2 linked regions of the Struthio camelus genome follow. The protein of the gene in region 2 purifies or fractionates together with the protein of the main gene of each other region. This does not show direct contact. Links are inferred from orthologs where the notes say so. Each region holds a gene or a part of one and is shown on either strand. Other genes may lie near its edges.

Evidence for each region. The genes of interacting proteins can lie anywhere in the genome.
Region 1: the proteins of PTP4A2 (region 2) and CNNM4 purify together in Homo sapiens (affinity purification with mass spectrometry; 6 studies listed by BioGRID and IntAct, counting the BioPlex papers as one, with this or other methods). This does not show direct contact. The link is inferred for Struthio camelus from reciprocal best matches to the Homo sapiens genes PTP4A2 and CNNM4.

The regions. Positions count from the first base shown.
Region 1 is NC_090968.1:1,291,804-1,301,293, forward strand, and holds the start of CNNM4 (metal transporter CNNM4), read left to right. Parts: upstream 1-5,456; coding exon 5,457-6,912; intron 6,913-9,490. Other genes in the region: LMAN2L (VIP36-like protein), read right to left, coding at 173-255, 903-1,020, 3,479-3,597, 3,670-3,811. UniProt on the Homo sapiens protein: Probable metal transporter. The interaction with the metal ion chaperone COX11 suggests that it may play a role in sensory neuron functions. May play a role in biomineralization and retinal function.
Region 2 is NC_090964.1:8,672,408-8,682,645, reverse strand, and holds the start of PTP4A2 (protein tyrosine phosphatase type IVA 2), read right to left. Parts: upstream 3,916-10,238; 5' UTR 3,745-3,915; intron 3,706-3,744; exon of another isoform or gene 3,487-3,705; intron 2,597-3,486; 5' UTR 2,519-2,596; intron 1-2,518. Other genes in the region: KHDRBS1 (KH domain-containing, RNA-binding, signal transduction-associated protein 1), read left to right, coding at 4,537-4,630.

The DNA.
Region 1 (9,490 bases), on a different chromosome or scaffold from region 2:
TGTTTAAGAGGCCCCAAAAATCTCTGCTCTACTGACACCCCACCACACAGTCACGCTAGGTGCAAGGCAAGCAACAACCTGGGGGCTGAGCCAGCTCTGTCCTTGGCCGCCCATGCCACACTCAACAGGCAGCTGGCGAGCAGCACAGTCCCAGTTAGCCTTTCTAGCTCACCTCCTGCTGCTTCTCCTCGTTTGGGTAGGTGTCCACAAACACTCCCAGGCCCAGGAAGTTGTCCTTGCTTCCAAAGACAGGTCCTAGAAGGAAAGACAGGTTATGAGTAACAGCAGCAAAGCTAGGAAGGGTTTGCTTGTCTGTCCCTTCATGCTGTTCTCCACATCAGATAACAAGGCAGGTGCTTTCCAGACTGCACGGGGAGGGATTTACCCTCAGGTCACGTTACTCTGCAGAAAACCCATATGCAAGTCTTATTTTAAAAATCTTTCTATTTATCTTTGTATGGGGGATCACCAGGGAGGGCTCTTTCCTCCCCAGCCTTCACCCGCTTCTGTAAGATGGAGCCACATCGTACCACAGAACAAGGCTTCAAACGCCAGAGAGCAGAGCCAGGCGCTACAGAGCTCCATGCAGCCTTGAACCGTTAAGAAAGGACACAGACCCCCTGTGCTACAGGAAAGCCAGAAGGGTCCTACCCTTTGCTGGACCAGAATTCAGCTTCCTACCCAATCTGGTGTTCAAAGAGCTGACTCCCAGAGCAGGAGGCCCCACAGCTCCCATTACACTGCTCTGCGTCTCATAGTGAGATCACAGCAAAACAATCCCAAAGCTGGCAACTGCCGAGCTGATGACTCCAGTCTCCCAGGACCCTGTAAATCTCCAGTCCGGAGACCTGAGGTTCAGAGGCAGCATCAGGCGCAGCCACGGCTACCGGCAGTGTTTTTACCTGGTTGCATGCGGTCTTTGGTGTACCAGATGGCAAAGCCATCTCCGTTCAGGTTTTTCTTGCCTTGCCCGTGGATTTTAAAATGGACTTGCATCTCCCAGTCGCGGAGGTAACACGGCTGCAAGAGAAGGAATGAGCCTGTGAAATTAGGGTGCCCCGAGTGCCAAGGGACCCTCAGGAACCCGCTGCTCTTGCAGCTGAGGGTCAGGCTCTGGCGGGGACGGATGGCTGCAGCTGGCTGCACTATCCCCTGCCCACCACGACAAAAGGCAGCGGCTGCCTGCAGCTCTACGCGGCTTCAGATCAGAGAGTTAATGCTCCCCATTTCCCTTGCCAACAGACCACTGTTGTCCTGTATTTGGGATGTGAGCAAGAATAATTAATCCCCAAAGGCGTCATTAAGCCGAGGGAATTGGTTGTTACCCAGGGCTATAAAAAGCCAAGAAACCAATTCTTATCTCATACTATTCTGAAACAGCAGCAACTCCAGCAAAATCAATACCTCACACCAGGGAAAAGGAGGCTAGAATGAGCCTAAGGAGCAGCTTCAATTTTGTAATTGCAGATGAGCCAATTATTTTCTGAGCTACAAACGAATCGCCTACGCTAACAGGCACAAAACATGAGGAGTTCATAACAGATTCACTCACACGACGTTACAAAGCCGGTTGCTAGCTTCGTTCTGAAACTCGTATAAGCCACAACATTTCATGGGAGCCATAAACCCAAGTGAAAAACCTCCCGCAATATTTTATAACAATAAAAGTTGAGCATCCCAGACTACGTCTGGTCTTGTGAAACGTTTTCCAAACCACTCCAGAATGTCTAAGCGATCTCACGTGTGCCATCTGAAAGCACTTCGCTGCTATTGAATTTATATAGGGAAGGACAGAGCGATGCCCAAGCCGGGAGACACCACTCAACGTCGGACCGCCCTCAGACACAGCCTCAACAAGCCAGCCCGTTCCCATAGGTTCACGGCAGAAGTCAGAGCAAACTCCTGACGACTCGGAGGGCATTCAGGCTAGAGATGGGCTCTTAACGGACACGTTTCCGTATACCCCAGTAGTGCTATGACACCGACACAAATAGGGAGGCAGAACCAGCCACGCAAGGTGGGGTAAGCCTGCACTTACCGCCAGACGCCAGGGCGCAAAAAAGCACCGGTCTAAAGCCCAAAGTAAACACCAACCCAAACTATCAAGTTGTTAGACAGACCCTTGCTATCCGTCAGCCACAGGGAGGCAGCTCAAGGCCTCAGCGAAGCACACAACGGCAGCTACAAGAGCAGACATTAACAGCGAGGTTACAAGCCCTTGAGGCAAGGGAAGCGCAAGAAAGTCATGATCTCACATGTCTTTCTCCGTTGCTAAATAAGAGCTGATTGTGGACAGGGCTGGGAGACAAGAGCGAAGTCCCAGCGGCCGGGGTTTGCGACCACGGCTTAGCAATCACACCCAGGGCTGGAATCCATCACGCACACTTGTGAGCTACGTGCAGAGCCCCTGCTACGGGAGCGCAGGCCCAACGAGATGACCTTGTCCTTCTGCCCTCTGAGCTGCAATCCTTTGCGTGCCCAGGCCACAAGGGTCACTTGGCCACTCTGCAGCCAAAGCAAGCAGCTTCCCGGGCTGGGAGAGCCAGGCCACTGCACAAGGATCCCTGCTGGCACCTACATGGCCAAACATGCGGCTTCGCCAGAGCCTGCCCGCCATGGCAAGGTGCCTCCATTACTGGCATTGCTTCAAATCCCAGAGCGCAGCAAAGCAGGCAGTCGGAGTGCTCCAGCCACAGCCGTCGGAGAGAGGCACCCCCAAATTCATGTGCAGGGGGAACAGCCCATGATACGCTCCCCTCTCCACTGCAGCCCCTCAGCCGAGTCACCCCGGCTGGGACGAGGGGCTCAGCCCTTGCCAGAGGCAGGAGTCGCCGAGCCAAAGGCTGGAGACTGAGCTGAGGAACTACTGGCACCCCCCAGGCCCCTACGCTTCCCCAGCCCCCTACATCTCAGGGCAGATCCCATGACCCCCCAACCCCCCACAGCCCAGTCCAACTCCCCTCAGCACCTCAGACCCCCACATCGCCCTGGCCCAAACACCCAGCTATCCCGTGCCCCCGCAGCCCCCCAAGCCACCCCACCCCGTATCTCCCTCCCCACAAATCTCCTGGCTCCAGACCCCTACTCCCCCTCACTGCTCCAGCACTGTGCAGACCCTCCCTCCAGCCCCCCTCACTCCCCCCAGCCCAAACCCTCTTCCCCATACCCCTCAGATCCCCTCCCTATAGCCCCCAGACAGACCAGCCCCCCCACACCCCCCACCAGCCCAGCCTCCCCACTCTCCTAGCCCGGTCCCCCTGGACCCCCCACCCCCGGGCCCCCCTCCTCCATCCCATTCCCCTCCATATCCCCCCCAGCTCCCCCCCACCACCTTCCCCCCCCAATGTCCCAGACCCTCCCCAACTCCCCCCTTCCTCCACTCCCCCCCCACCCCAGTCTCCCTGCCCAGGCCCCCCACCCGCAGGCCCCCGCGGCCCGGCCCCGCTCCCCCTCGCCCCCCGCCGGTACCGGCGCTCACCACGCGGTTCCAGACGGCGCCCCGCTTGCTCTGCACGTCGGGGGTGAGGCGGATGTACTGGGTCGTGACCATGGCGTTGCCCAGCAGGTCCCAGAGCCCCGAGCTGGCCGAGCCCACGCCTGCCGGCCCACGCACACGGTCAGCACCGGCCGCCCCGCCGCCGCCGCCGCCGCTACCGGCGCCCCGCTCACCCTGGTACGGCTTGGACAGCGAGTGCTCCCGCTTGAGGTGCTCCTCCGTCTGCTCGGCCCGCGGCCCGCCCAGCCGCAGCGCCAACACCAGCAGCGCCAGCCCTGCCCGCCGCCGGCCCGCCGCCGCCATCGCCGCCGCCATCTTCCCTCCGGTGCCCGCGCCGCGCGCCGCGCGCCCCGCCCCTCCCGCGCCGCTATTGGCTGCTCCGCCCCCCCCGCGCCGCCATTGGCTGCCCTACCCCCCGCCGCTCGCCGGTTGGCAGCGCCGCGCATCAGTCCGGGAGCGGGCGCGCGGGGGGTGACGGGGGATGTAGTGCGGCCAGCGGTGGGGGGGAGGGCGCGCGCGCGGAACCCGCCTGCCCGGGAGGGGGCCGGCGGCGGCGCTCAGGATGGGTCCGTGCTGCCGCGGGGTCTCCCGGCCCCTAGGCCGGGCCTGCCCCCTTCTGAGCCCTAGTTCCCCTTCCCGTGGCTCCTGCCCTCCCTAGTCCAACCTGCCCCCCCCAAAACAGGCTCTGCTTCCCCCGGTCCTAGTGCCCCCTCTCCTCCGCCACCTGCCTCCCCAAACAGGCTCCCCCAGGTCCTAGTGCCTCCCTTCTGCAAACCCTAGGTCTTAGTGCCCCCCCCATCTGCCTCTTACGCCCCCCAAAACAGGCTCTGCACCCCCAGGTCCTAGTGCCCCCCCCCGCAACCTGCCTCCCCAAACAGGCTCTGCTCCCCCAGGTCCTAGTGCCCCCCCCCCGCAACCTGCCTCCCCAAACAGGCTCTGCTCCCCCAGGTCCTAGTGCCCCCCCCCGCAACCTGCCTCCCCAAAACAGGCTCTGCTCCCCCAGGTCCTAGTGCCCCCCCCCGCAACCTGCCTCCCCAAAACAGGCTCTGCTCCCCCAGGTCCTAGTGCCCCCCCCCGCAACCTGCCTCCCCAAACAGGCTCTGCTCCCCCAGGTCCTAGTGCCCCCCAACCTGCCTCCTGCCCCCTCTCAAACCGACTCTGCACCCCCAGGTCCTAGTGCCCTGCCTCCTGCTCCCTTGCCCCAGTCCTACTGTCCTCCCCCCCCGTCCTACCTGCCCCGGGTGCTGCCCCCGGGGTGCAGGGGCCCTGGCAGGCCGCGGCAGTGCCGGAGCCGCTCCCCGGGGCGCTGCCCTGCCCCTCCCGGCGCCGCACGCTGCTGGGGCGACCTTCACCCCGCGGGGACGGGGCCTGGGACGGGCCACCCCCGCCCGGGGACTGGGCCAGACCGGCTGCGCCCCGCGGGCTGGGACTCCCGGCACGGCGGGGTGACACCGCCGAGTGCCACCCCCTTTCCCTAAGGGACACTGCCAAGTGTCGCCACCTCCACATGACCCCCATCCCACCAGGGACCACCCAAGTGCCACCCCCCCCACCCAAGGGACACCCCATGGGACCCCCCCCACACACACCCGGGGGCCACCCCCTTTCCCTAGCAGCTACCCCCAAGTGTCACTTCCCCACCTGCCACTCCTTCGCCACCCTCGTGTGCCACCCCCCCACCCAAGGGACACCCCGTGTGACCCCCCCCAACTTAGGAGACACCAACGTGCCACCCGCCTCCCCTCTCCGTGCGCGCCCTCCCCCACCACCCCAGGCGCGGCCCCTTTAAGGCGGGGGAGGGGGCGTGGCCCCGCCCAGCCGGAGGAGGGGGCGCGGCGCGGTGGGTGACGCGCGGCGGGGGGGGCGTGGCGCGGCGGCCGGGGGGGGCGTGGCGCGGCGGGTGACGCGGCCCGCGAGCGCGGCGGGCGGCTAGTGCGCGCGGCGCCCGCCAGACGCTAACATGGCGCCGGGCGGCGGCGGCTGGCGGCGGCGGCGCGGCGGCGGAGGCGGCGGAGGAGGCGGCGGCGGCGGGGTCGGTCCCGACGCTGCGGGCGGCGGCGGCGCGGCGGCGCCTCCCCTGCTGCCGCCGCTGCTGCTGCTTCTAGCGCTGCCCGGCGGCGCGGCGCCGGCGGGCGACAGCCTCATCCTGGGCATGAGGCTGGAGGAGAGCACGAAGCCGGCGGCGGGGGCGCCGGCCCGCGGGCCCATCCGCGTCACGGAGGGCAGCGAGGTGCTGCTGCGCCTCTACGGGCTGGGCCTGGGGCCCCGCACCGGCGAGCGCGTGGCCTTCGCCGAGCTGCGGCCCGCCGCCGCCAACGCCTCGGCGCCCAACGGCACCTGCCCCGAGCGCTCGCAGGACCTGGTGGTGCAGCCGGGCCCCGCCGAGGCTCGCAACACCTCGGCCCTGCTCCGCGTCCGTGTCCAGCCCCTGCGCAAGGACGAGCAGGCCAAGACCTACGTGCTCTGCACCCAACGCCGGCCCGGCCAACCCTGGCTGCCTCACCAGGGTCCCGACGGCCGCATCGTGGTGCTGGAGGAGAAGAAGTCGTTGCTGCCCCTCTGGCTCCAGGTGATCCTCATCGCCGGGCTCCTGGTGCTCTCGGGCATGTTCAGCGGGCTCAACCTGGGCCTCATGGCGCTGGACCCCATGGAGCTGCGCATCGTGCAGAACTGCGGCACCGACAAGGAGAAGCGCTACGCCCGCAAGATCGAGCCCATCCGGCGCAAGGGCAACTACCTGCTCTGCTCCCTGCTGCTGGGCAACGTGCTGGTCAACACCACCCTCACCATCCTCCTCGACGACCTCATCGGCTCCGGCATCGGCGCCGTCGTCGCCTCCACCATCGGCATCGTCATCTTCGGCGAGATCGTGCCCCAGGCGCTCTGTTCCCGCCACGGTCTGGCCGTGGGCGCCAACACCATCGTGGTCACCAAGTTCTTCATGCTGGTGACGTTCCCCCTCTCCTTCCCCATCAGCAAGCTGCTGGACTGCATCCTGGGCCAGGAGATCGGTACTGTCTACAATCGGGAGAAGCTGGTGGAGATGCTGAAGGTGACGGAGCCATACAATGACCTGGTGAGGGAGGAGCTCAACATGATCCAGGGAGCCCTGGAGCTACGGACCAAGACAGTGGAGGATGTGATGACCCCCCTGCACAACTGTTTCATGATCAACAGCGACGCCATCCTGGATTTCAACACCATGTCGGAGATCATGGAGAGCGGCTTCACCCGCATCCCCGTCTACGAGGACGAGCGCTCCAACATCATGGACATCCTTTACGTCAAGGACCTGGCGTTCGTCGACCCTGACGACTGCACCCCGCTCAAGACCATCACAAAGTTTTACAACCACCCCGTGCACGTCGTCTTCCACGACACCAAGCTGGACGCCATGCTGGAGGAGTTCAAAAAGGGTGAGAGGGCTGGGCGCTGGCCGGGTGGGTGCCGCTCGCCGGACTGCTCCGCTCGGGCTGGGCTGGGCCGCTGGCTTGTTCCCACAGCAACATCTCCGGCTCCGGTCGGAGGAGGCTCTTAACGAGGCTTAGATGCCGGAAGCAAAACTTTCGGCTGAATGTCTCTGGCGGCGCTCCAGGGCCGGAGCCGCCTGCGCTTGGCGCGCGGTGACAGCCCAGGGGGCTTCCTCGGGGCCGAGCTCCGGGCTCTGCTGGCTTTGGGCGTTGGGAGACAGAGGGGATGAGGTGTCTGTGCACGCACCGCTGTGCTGTGCCGCTGGGGACGGGCAGGAACCGGGGCGGCAGCTCGGCCTCGGTGCTTGCAACGGGCCGTGTTTCCGGGGTCCGAGCTGTAACGGCCCTGCACCTGGGTCGGGGAGGGACAGAGCCTCTATTTTACCATCGGCAGGGCACGCTCTGCTTAATGCCAGCCCCTAGAAACACTTTGAGGCTGTTGACTCGCTTCTGGTTCCTAATTAGCAGCCCCGGAGGCCCTTCAATGGCTCCTGGCAAATCGCTCCGATCCCTGGCTCGGGCTTTGCTCCCTCCTCTGGGCCCTTTCCAGGCGCTGGGAACGGCGAGCTGGGCTCGCTGCCGGCCCCGATCACAGCGCTTCCTGCCCCACCTTGCGCTCGGGCACCCAAAACCAGGAGCGGCTAGGGGGCAGGAGGGGCTGGAAGGCCCGTTGGGGCTGCCTCGCCGGTGGGAGCAGGGCCAGGACCGGTGGGAGGCTCCTCTCGTCGGCCCCGGCGCTGCCGGGAGCGAGAGAAGGCCGCGTTAATTCGGAGGCAGGTTTTGAAGGCCCGAGGTCTCCGCTTGGCCTTTGCACCACCATGTTTGCACCGTGCGCCTTCTCTTCGCCCGGGAGTGAGGAGAAAACCCGCACCAGCCAGGAGACCGTCCCTCCTTCCCGAGCTTCTTGCAGCTGCTGCCAGGCCGGTTTGGGTCACCCAGCCTCTCTGCCGGCACACGCTGGGGCCCCAGCTGCCTCGGGGGGTGTTGGCAGCCGACCTGCCTGCTGCTCGCGGCCCGAAACAGGGCTCAGCCATGCCCAGAGCGTTACGCAGCGACGGCTGTTGGCTGGGAGGGTGGGCAGCCGCGGTCCAGGCCGCAGTGGCTGATCACGGCAGAGGTGAGGATCCGTGCGGTGCCGGCTGCGAGACCTGCCTGCCTTGGGGACGGGATAAGTAACCCGGCTTGGGAACAGCTGTGCCGGGCGATGCCAGGCCTCAGCCGTGTGTGACCCTGGTGTCTCCTCTGTCTCCCGTTACATCTGCACAGGGAAGGTTTGGTCCCACTGCGGGAGGTCTGCTGGGCTCGGGGCAGCGCGGAGGAGGTCAGTACCAGCTCCCTGCCGCAGCAGTGGGTTGAGGTGAAGGTAGGCTTCAGGCCAGCGTTGCCTGCTGGGTTTGAGCCCCTGCCTCCAGGGGTGGTTTCCAGTCTGGACTCAGCCGGTTCCAGCCAAGAAACTGCATGCTCCTCGGATTTAGGAGGTCTAACAATTCTTCCTGCAGCCAGAGCTTTGCTCGAGCAAGGATTTGGGAGTGACCTGGTAGACCCAAGCCAGGCTGATCTTTGAGCCCAGCAGAGAGCTGAGAGTTTACGAGGTGGCCTCCCTGGTGACACTGGACACGTGCTCAGGCCGCAGCAAGTTATAGGCTCTGTTTCTGTCTTCCCTGAAACTTTTGTGATCGTGCTGCCCCGAACCCAAAAATTTCAACTTGGGAATAACGCCACCGGATCATGGGTCGGTGTTGTTTGTGGTTGGAACTGTGACGGGATCTCATCGTCTTCGAGCCTCCAACTTTCATTCCTGATTAATGAAAACCTTCTTGGCAAATGCTTTTGCTTTAGTTCATCTTGCGCTGGTTCAAGAATTTCACCCCAAGCAGCACAATACGAATGCGTACGGCTGTCTCTCTTAATCCTGGCCCCATTTCTAAAAACCAACAAAACAGAACCGGAGTCCTATTCTGTCTCTCTGCTGTTGGAGCTGGAGTTACCACGGCTGCTGGCACCAGCCTTTCCCTCTGATGAATCCTTGTGAAAGGATTTAAAGCCTGCTCATTCCAATTACAAGGCCTCGAATATCCCGTATTGTTATTTTTTGTCACTTCTTCTCTGGTTTGAGAGTGGGTAATTTGTGGGCCTGCTGTCTTCCTCGGATGTGGTAGCTGTTTCTGAGGTCCCTTTTTGGGACCGAACACTGATTTCCCGTTACTCACAGTCACCGTGGATGTAGTACCACCCGCAGCGAGTACCAGATCATGGCGAGTCTGTGCCTCATCCCACTGGTTGGGACTCAAAGTGAGCAGGAGCTGCGCCGAAGCTAAGGCTGCCTCTCTGGGTGACTCTGGTCCCCTCCGCGGCATGTCACAGCCCTGATGGCTGTTGTGCGGGAACCTCTAGGGTTGTTTTGGGGAGGTTCAGGGCTTGGAGTTGCCTCGACAGCTCCCTCCAGCTCCCCAAATCCATCCCTAGGGACTGTGTGGTTTGGGTCAGGTTGTTTCTGGAAGGTGGGCTGAATTCCTTGGCCTCA
Region 2 (10,238 bases):
GAGGTTGCCCAACAGACGTCCACAGGCATGTGCCCGCTTTGCATTTTGTCTGCGAAGCGCAATCCAGACGGCGGCGTCTGTGTTCTCCGTTGACACCGCAGCACCGCTCGAGTAGGGCAGAAACATGAAAGAACAAAGTGACCCAGGAAGGCGAGCAGATGCCCAGCTTGCTCGGGGCGCCCGGGGCAGGGCGGCACAGCCGGGAGCCAGGAGCAGGTTCACATGGCCAGGGCAGCCCTGACCCTGCACACGGTGAAACAAAAATCAATGAATGACCCATTGATCCGCTTCCCTGCGGGCGGGTGGAGCGCCGGATACCAGTGACTCAGAGTTTGGTCTGAGCAGGATCCTGACCCTTCTCACAGCCTGGGCTCTGCGCCTGGCTTGGAGCCATCCAGAGCAGGAAGCCTTGCACTTGGCGAGGGCCTGTCCCGGCCACGTGGCATTAAGTAACCAAAGGTGACACCCCGTCTGGTACTAACCAGACGGCACCAGGCTGCATCATACCCTGAGCTTAACCCTTCCTGACATCATGCAGTTTTATCAGTGCGCGTGTGACTCCATGTAGTAGTACATGGCTTCTGTGCGCAGTGTTTGTGCAACAGGGCTTCAGCACCTCCTTCCCCAGGTGAGGCCTGGCTTCCTCATCCTGCCAGGAAAACACTTTCTGTGCCTGTCATCAGCCTGCTGAGAGTCAGAAAGACCATTCAAAACACGCCAGTCCTAGACAGGGTAACAAAATGCTACACAGGGCCAGCACAGAGAACCCCTTAGTCAAGATGCACTGCCGAGCGCAGAGAAGGGCTGTGTTGCCAGGCAAGAAGCTAGATTTTCCTGAGCAGAGGGTGACGTTTTCTCCCCTAAAAGTGCCCTGTTGATAGAGCGTGGCTGCAAGGGGACCCTGGGCCTGCAGCAGCCTGCCCCAATGGCGTGCCAGACCCCACTAGAGGGCATCAGGACATCGCACAGGGCTGGGCCTGGGACTGCTCCAATCTCCCAGGAGGCGGAAATATTTAGCCATGGGATGGAAATCACCGAGGCTCGTAAAGCTCCCTAAGAATAGCAGGGTTAGCGTCTCAGAGGCTAGCTAGCATTTATTAATCCACTGTAACAAGAAGTACCTTCATTTGGAGCCAGGGACTAACACTTCCTTTCCTGCCAGCTGAGATAAAAATGCTGGAGCAAAGGACAGACACAGGAGAGGCAGCCCATTCCCGCTGGCATCACTGCTGCCTCTGGTCCAGCTGAACAAGTGGGCGGCTGCACTGGAAGTGGCACCAGCGAGAGCTGGAACAAGAGTTCTTCTGTTCTCAGCTCCAGCAGCAAACCCTCCTCAGGGCCCCTCGCCTGAGCACACATCGGTGGCTCCGTGACGCACACCCATTTGCATAATGCACAATGTCTAGAGCTCCAGGCCCGCCGGGCCTCTTCCTCTTCTGCAGCAAAACAAAGGCATTCTCTCAAAGACCTAGCTGATTAACGACCCTGTCATCTCAGCAGCAGGGAATAACTGCAGAAGCAATCACATCCACATAAGCTTTTATCAGCTGCTCTCCTAAGATACCCACAGGAGAACAGACACGCGGAAGACAGAGCAGGGGTGGCCATGCACTCAGGCCCAAACTAGACCCATCTCTGTTCTATTCCCCATTCTCCTTCCCTGTAAGGAAGGAATGTCTCAGCCCCTGGGCACCCTGAGCAGATTTGGACAATCCAAGTAGAAGAGAAAGAAGGTAGAAGTAACTTAAATTTACAGATGGGGAACTGAATGGTTACGCAAAGTGTCCAGCTTCACTCAGGAAGCCTCAGCAGAGCTGGAAACTGGTCCCAGATCTCCTGATTCCAAGTCCAGGGCCCCATCAGGCAACCTTCCTCTAAAAATTAAAACTCTAAAGGAGCCAAATGCACCTTTCTCCTCCCCCTCACTCCCAAAGTTCTTGGAGGAACGGGTCAAATGTAAACAGCTAATGACAGCTGCCTTCCATAGCAGCACCAGCATAGCAAAGGGGCTGGTCATAGGAAGATGTGAGCTACACGTGCTCTGGGAGCCTGACTGAGGCAGCAGGTGGAAGCCCTGGGGTGATGACAGCCCTTTACCAGGAGCAGAGCTAACACATCCCAGCTCTCGGAAGGTCCCATGGCATTTACAAGCGAAGCAGCTGGCAGCTGTGTGTTTGGATGGGACAGGGAAGGCAGGCAGGGAAAGAGAATCTTGTTGAAAATTTATAAGAATGACATAAAGATGTACAACTGGGATGAAGAAAAAGAGACAATATGTGAAAGAGAACTGAGAAGGAAGGAACAGAACAGGCACCGAGATCTGCACCTGCACATGGCAGGGACCCACACTGCTCTAAAGCCGTCAGTGGCGGCAGCTCCCTTACACAGGCAGGGCTTTATGTTCACAAGCTGCACAGCCATTCACTACAAAGTGACAGGGTTGCACAGGTTCAGTGGAGCTGTTCCGAAACAGCACCCTGGAGGCAAGAGAGACAGAACGAGATTCAGGCTGTGTTACCTGATGATGTCGGAGGCTACGTCTGTCCACGCACATCAGCTCCAACAACGTACAGAGAAGGCTGCTGCAGAGAGTGATCTATCACAAGACAGCCAGAGATAAAATGAGTTTGCCATGCTTCCTTAACAGGCTGAAGTAGATGTGTAATTTCAAGAATTGTAAAAGCTGGTAAGTCTTCCTGCTATGTTCTTGAGCTATGAATGTCAATCTATTAATAAACAAAAGCCACATCTGATACTAACTTAAGGGGTTGCAGCGCCTGAGATAGGTCCTGCATGCTAGTTAAGTAAAAGCTGCCTCCAAAAAACCACAGCAACAGAATCTCTGCACCCAAGGGGCCTTCACACGTGTGATCATCCTGACTGGAAAAAAAAAGCGTTCAGTTCTTCTTTGCTGGGTTTCAGGATGGTACAGATAATCCTTTCCTCATTAACTCCACCCCAGCAACTCTAACTGGAGTTTCTAAACTTCTGACAATGCTAGTTCATACGAGAGCTTTTACTCCCTCTCCAGCCCTGCACGACAACAACCAGCTCCCATGAAGGAGGCAAGTACTCTCTTCAAGCCCAGCACAGGGCTACCAGGATGGGTAGGCCAGGGGCTCAGCTCCCATATGGGCCCTGCCGAGGCCCCGTACGGCAGCACAGGGCCATGAGGGCAGGCAGGGGAAGGCTCAGCTCCCACACAGGCACTGCTGAGGCCCCGTACCACAGCACAGGGCCATGAGGGCAGGCAGGGGAAAGCTCAGCTCCCACACAGGTGCTGCCAAGGCCCCATACTGCAGCACAGGGCCACAGGGGCAGGCAGGGGAAGGCTCAGCTCCCACACAGGTGCTGCCAAGGCCCCAGGCAGGCAGGGGAAGGCTCAGCTCCCACACAGGCACTGCTGAGGCCTCATACCACAGCACACGGCTGCAGGGGCAGGTAGGCCAAGGACCCAACTCCCAAAGCAGGCTGTGCCCCGCTCACCACGCCCACCGAGGCCCAGGCACTTTGCGCTGCCCAAGGCACTGCCCCGCCGTCACTCTCGGGCCGCAGCCCGGGCCGGAGCCCCTCCGCCACCCCAGGGCCTACGACACGCCTCGCACCTCACGCCTATCTCCACAGAGACGCACAGCCACAGGGCGCATGCGCGCCAGCCGCTTTGTTCTCGAGCGGGCAGCCACTGCGCATGCGCAACACAGACCTTCCCCCCCCCCACACACACACACACATATACACACATACACGCAGGCGCTGTGAATCCCCTGCGGGATAAGTTTCTCGGCAGCTGGTGACTAATGTCACACCGCTGCATCTGCGCATGCGCAGTCAGGGCAGCGGGGCGGCCGTCGCTCCCCACGTGTCGCTTTCCGCTTTCGCGGGCCCGGCACTGCGCATGCGTCCCAAGAGCGCGCCTCGTTCCCGCGGGCGGCGGGCGGCGCACGCGCGGCCCAGGGGGCGGGCCGTGAGGAGCGCGGCGGGGCGGGGCGGGGTGGGGAGGGGGGTGGCGCGCGGCTGCGTGCCGGCGCAGGCGCAGAGGCGCGCGGGGTGGTCGCGCGGGAGCTGCGGCGGAGTGGGGGGGGGCGGGGAAGTGCGGGGGGGGGGAGTGAGAGAGAGGGAGAGGGAGGGAGGGAGAGAGCGGCAGAAGGGGGGGGCGGTCCTTCCGGCCCCTCACTTCCGGCCGTGGCGCCGCGGCGGACGGTGTGGCAGCGCCGCGCTCGGCCCGCTCCGCGCCCGCCGCCGCCCCCCGCCGCCCGCATGCAGCGCCGTGACGACCCCGCCGCCCGCCTGGGCCGGGGGCCGGGCCCCGGCGGCGCCCGGCAAGGGGCGCCCCCCCCGCGGCGGCCGCCCCGCGGAGGAGGAGGAGGAGGAGGTGGCGGCGGAGGAGGAGGAGGAGGAGGTGGGGGGGGCCGAGGCGCCGCCGCCACCGGGGCGCAGCCGCCGCCGCTCCTACCGCCCAGCGCCACAGCGGCCGCCTCGGCCGCCCAGGCCCCCGCCGCCGCCCCCACCCCGCTGCTGCCGGGGGCCGCCGTCAAGATGGAGCCCGAGAACAAATACCTGCCGGAGTTGATGGCCGAGAAGGACAGCCTCGACCCGTCCTTCACGCACGCCATGCAGCTCCTCACGGCAGGTACCGCGGCCGGGGGGGCGGCGGGCAGGGCGGGGGGGGGGGCCCGGCCGCCGCTGACCCCTCTTGGCCGCCCTGCCCGGGGCTGCGAGCGCCGAGGGCCCCCGGGGAGCGGCCCCGGGTGAGATGCGCCCCGCCTCCCTCGGTGGTGGGGGGGTTACCGAGATATTTCTATTATTTAATCTCTGTTTAGCGCCCTCCCCCTCCTCCGTGCTTAGCCTGGATTAAGCACAAACCTAGAACTTTCTTTTTGATAAGCAAGGTACGGTCGTGTTCCCCCTTTTCGTCCCTGGGGGAAGAGGGGACCCGAGAGAACGGTGAAGACTGGGGTTTTCCAGGTAGCGTCTGCTGGAGCCCCTGCGAGGCGTGATTTGTGATCTCTTTGCATTTCTACTCTGGAAATCCGTATTAGAGCTTGTTTCATGCTTTTGATGAGCCTAAATAGGGAATGGAAATGGCAGTCTTTGTTCTGTGCCCAGACTAGCCTTCTCCTTCCCCATCACCACTGTCCAATCGCCTGGCGGCTCTGATTTCTCCCTATCTCTCCAGTGCAGCTGCTGCACCCGCATTTGGTGGCTGTATCAAGTAGACTCAGCTGCCTCACGACACTGTAGTTAGCTTAAAAATTGGAACAAGTTAAGCAATTTCTGCCACTTACTGCTTAATGTGCATGGAGTGGAGAGCTGGGATGTGCTCAGCACAAGAAGGATGAACTCGGATTCGATTTACAGATGAGCAGAGTGCTTAGCTCTCTAGTTATTACCATTCTGTTTCTAAATGTTTTTTTTTAAACAGTCTTTAAAGTATGTAATGTGGCTGTAATCGTTGCAGTGCTAGAGACTTTATTAAGACTTGCTGTCTCCCATTGTACAAGTAACTGAGATATGTCAATGTCATGAGTGACTTGGCATCGCTCATGGGCATCTTGATCTCCATAAATCAGTTTTATAGTCTGATTTGCCACAATTTTTTTTTATTAATAAAACCCTTTAGCCAGCTGATGCTCAACAGCTCTGTGATAATGCCTTGCGGTGAAATGAAACCTAAGGAATTTGCTAATTCCTGCTCAAAGAACAGCGTTCTCATCCCATTTAGCAAAGCTTCATTCACTGAGTGCTGTCGCAAGGATTTATGAGTTTTTCATCAATTTAAAAATTGCTGATAGTAGAGCGCAGCTTTGTGAGACTTAGGATTGATCATTGGAAGAGCTCCAGATGCTTCTGCCTTGCTTTGGTTATTTGAAAATTCCTGTCCTTTGGGAGCATTCACTAGGCAGCCCAAACTTAGGGCGATCTAAGCAGGAGGCTCGTGAGAGAGAATCTGAAATAAAGCCACCGTTTTAGGAGCCTCTTTTTGCACAGATGACCAGCTGTTCCCCAACTGACCTGGATTGCTCAGAATTTCTCTACTGCTGTGGCACCCTTTGAGTATGTCGTGTTGAAGAGCCAGCTGAAAAATCTCACTTTGGAATTTAAGTCTGGGTCAAAGATTGTAATGCGTGTGTGCAGCGTGACTTCATCAAAATGATTTTTCAGACAGGCTTTCAAAACGACTGGTCACGGAACAGCAGCAGTATCCCTATCCCTATGCCAGCCTTTTCTCAAGAATGCAAGTTCATGCTGCATTCCGGAGGAACTCCTGCAGGAGTTCTGCACTGAAACTAAGACATCTTGTTTAAAAACAGTATTTTAAAGTAGTCCAAAATACTTGTGTGGTTCTAGTGCTGCTTAGCTTTTCTGAAAGAAATCAGCATTGTTTAGGAGCAAGATGAAGGGCAACGCAGTGACATAATCCTAATTCTTGAACAATGGGCTGTGTGATCAAAAGGGAGAAAAGTGGCTACCTTTTAGGGTTCTGTAGCACAGCACCCCGAATAGAAATCGAAAACTGGGGTTTCTTACCCTTTGGAATAGGATCCATGTCTCCTCACTTTTATGACTCGGGGTCTACATGGCCTTCCCTTTCCATAGGAACAAGAAAATCCCTTTCCCTCACTTTGATTTATGCCCTTCATCTGTTGCGGGGGCAGGGGGGATGCTGATGCTTTGAAAGGCGCAATTTTCTCTGCTTATGTGCATTGGGAGGATGGGAGACATCTACCGATGTAAGTGTTAGCCAGGCATGTTTTTTTCAAGTTCATGTGTTAATCTTAGCAAGCTCTCTTCATTTCATGGTGGAACTCTCCTTGAAAAGAGCAGGCCTCTTCACCTCTGAGCTTCCAGTGCTACAAATAAATGTGTAAGCCCCATCTCCGCTCCACTAATGGATCTCTACATTGCTAGCATCTAATTGGTCCTCATGTTAAATGCAGCCCTTTACCTCCCCAGACACGTAGAGTGGTGAGGAGGGATGGAGATGGATGGTGAGGGCTAAGTTCAGAGCAATAGGTAACTCGAGGTATTCGAGTAAACCCATGAAGGAAGGAAGCTCTGAGCAATTGGAGTTAGATCAAAACATTGCACAGTAGAGAGCGGCTTGAGAAGTTGAAGGAATCCTCAGAAGAATACCCTGCTGACTCTGCTGATTCTTGTGCCAGAGTTATTTAATCTGTATGTATTCCTAGGAAGAACACGGATGGTGGAAACATAGGCTGTATGGGAAAGTCAGATGGATGGGCAGTGGCCTCGCTGGAGTAACTTGCCAAGGAACCAAACAGTGGGATTAGAGATGGGCTGAGGTCACAGGGGTGATGAGAAACTGTATATAACCCAAAGCGATAGAATGTCCTGAGGCTTTCTCAGCATGGGGTTAAGGCTGTCCTGAAATGGAGGAGAAATTTCTGTGTTTCCAAGTGTATGTCCTAGCCCCCAAAGGAGCTGTAACTACCACCTTAAACTTGTGCCCAGATGTTGCAAACTGAGTGATATGCTAATAGCATTTTACTGTTGCATTTTTTAAATGTATATCCTGCTAAGAAATGCCAACGTTATTAGACGCTCATGCTAATCTACCTGTCACTGCCGTGACTCTACCTCCTCCCACTTCTCTCGCAAGAGTCTCTACTGCCTGTACCATTTCTCATAGCTCACCTCCAGGCTTTTTCCTCCCCACCCCATGCTTGAGCAGTATTTCTTTTCTTCCCCATGCCCCTTCTCCCTGTGCCAGTGGCAGTCCTCGCCCTTCCCAGCAAAGCTCCAAAGCAGAGCTGCCTGCATATGAATCCCAGCATATACAGGCTGGAGAGTGGGGGGTGTATTCCAGAAGGAAGTGGGAGGGAAATGATGGGGTTAGACTTGCCAAATTCTGCCACTTCCACTGTTGGCCAAATTTATCCAGGAACGGGTCCCTGATTCGTCTCCTGTGAAATCAAATCAGCTAGGGAGCAGTGCCATGGGAGAGATGGAGCTCTGCTTTCTTCTAGATGCCCCTTCTTCCCCGCCCCCCCCCCACCTCTTATTAAATTTTGGGGGGTATGGGATCAGTATTATCATAATATTGAGATAATACTTCTGATATCAGAATTGTGAATGAATAGAATGTGTCTCTGCTTACAGAGCACAGGTGTGCTGCAGGACAATGTGTAATATGTCCTTTGTTAAGGAAAAGCTCGGGCTTAGATCAGGAGTAGCACTACGGCTGCTGAGCCTCCTCCTTGTGAAGCAGCAGTGTTACCAACCCCCTTTACCTACCCCTTAGGATTTCTTCTGAGACAATGCAATCACTGCCCCACATGAAGTCCTGGAAACCACTGCCACACATGCTGCCAGACTGCTGACATTCCCCGTGGCAAGAAGGTAACCTTCTGCTGCACCTCTGACACGGCTTTAAAAAATCAGCACTGAAATGAGGCATGCTTAATCCCTCAAGGTATATGTACGCTTCTTCATATCAGTAAGTCGTCTGACAAACTGCTACCACTCATCGGTTCATTCAGTACTGCTTCGTGTTGCGTAGCTAATATGCCAGAATGCATACAGATAACGCTGGAATCCAGATCAGTAGGACACGTCACAAGCGGCATGTTTTTAGTCCTCCTTTGCACCTCTTTGCAGACTTGGAATTTGTCTGAAGGTGTGAAGGGGACTGCTAGGTCACCTACGGTGACCTGAATAACAAAAGCTGGAGGATTTCGAGTTGTGCTGCTGGGATAGGGTTTTTTTTCCTCCTCGTATCTTTTGGATTTCATTTGAAGACGTGGCAATGGTGAATCCGATGCTTCTCTCAGCAAATGGTTAATGATCTGTTGTCCTCATAGAACAATTCCCAGATGATGTTGCTACTGTTGCAAGAGGCAGAATGGATCTTGCTGTGTGGTTGATGTGAAAAGTAATTCACTGGTTTACAGAGGCTTACGTTCTGATCACTTTCTGTGTTTTGGCAAGATAGAAGATGCCTCTAGGTAGTTTAATTTTGTATTAAGAAAGTTTGAGGGTGCCTTTATTCTTAATATGTTCATTCAAAAAGTACTTTTTGTTAATACGCAGAATATATTTTGAGAAACTTACTGTGTTTGCAGAAGCAAAATATTTGAGAAGGAATCTCATTGCATTAGAGGATCTAAAGCTACGGCTAGCCAGTGCTAAGGCCAGCAATGCAATCATTAGTTTCCAAATTTTTTTCTCTGATGTATGCTTATAGTAAAAATTGAAAACCTGTAAGTAAAACTAACCAAGGCAGACAGCTCTTTTGCTTATTTTATAAATTTGGTGGTGCTTGAACTTGTTTTTACTTTTGCATAGCATCTTCAGAAAATCATTTCTTGTTAAAGGAAAAATCAAGCTATCCTTTTTAAAGCCTATTAGATCCAGTTTTTTTTTTTTTTTTTTCAATTAAGGAGTCATGCTAACGTGTTTGTAATGGAGCCAAGATGCTGTTGCAAGTAAACTACAAAACTTAGGTTTCTTTCATAATTTTGCAACGTAATCTCCAAGTTCTATATTTAGTTCTCTAACTAAAACTAGTTTGCATCAGTTTGACCATAACTGATCATTTAAAATATCGATCATTCAATCTGTTTTCTTAGGCTTTTTGGTTGCCCGTCTGGTTGCTTGACTTTCTTGCAGTCTGCCTCATTCAAACATGCCAGGCACGCTTCCCAGAGTGTTAGGCCGTAGTTGCCTGTCCAGTCAGAAATATTATGGTAACCCATTGTTCCTATTTGTTTGGATTACATGAACACGGTATTAGGTGGATAACGTGTCAAGTATCTGATACGCCAGTCTTCCAAAACTGTAAGCATGGCAATGACAATTTAATCTAAAGTATGTAGTTTCTGACATGGACTGAAATCACAGGAAAAACAAGATATTGCAGCTGTCTTCTTTAAAACATGGTAAATGACTAAGCAGTCTTCAGTTTCATTTCTGTCTTGCAGCTTTAATCCAGTTATGTGTATAATCTTGTGAAAGGTCCCCCCCCCCCCCAGCCAGGAGATGTGAGAAGTTGTATTTAGAGCACTTTCGACTCAGAGAGGAGATATTTATAGTTCTTGGGTTTGCTGATGAAATTGCATAATTTAAGGAAGGGTCATGCTCCTCGCCTGATAAGCATCTGTAAATAGGTTGTGATGCCTGTGCGTGGCATGACCATGTTTTCAATCAATTCAATCAAAGAGCACATAATGGTTTATCAATAATTTGGGATGTATAGTGATATATTAGCCCCAAATGTG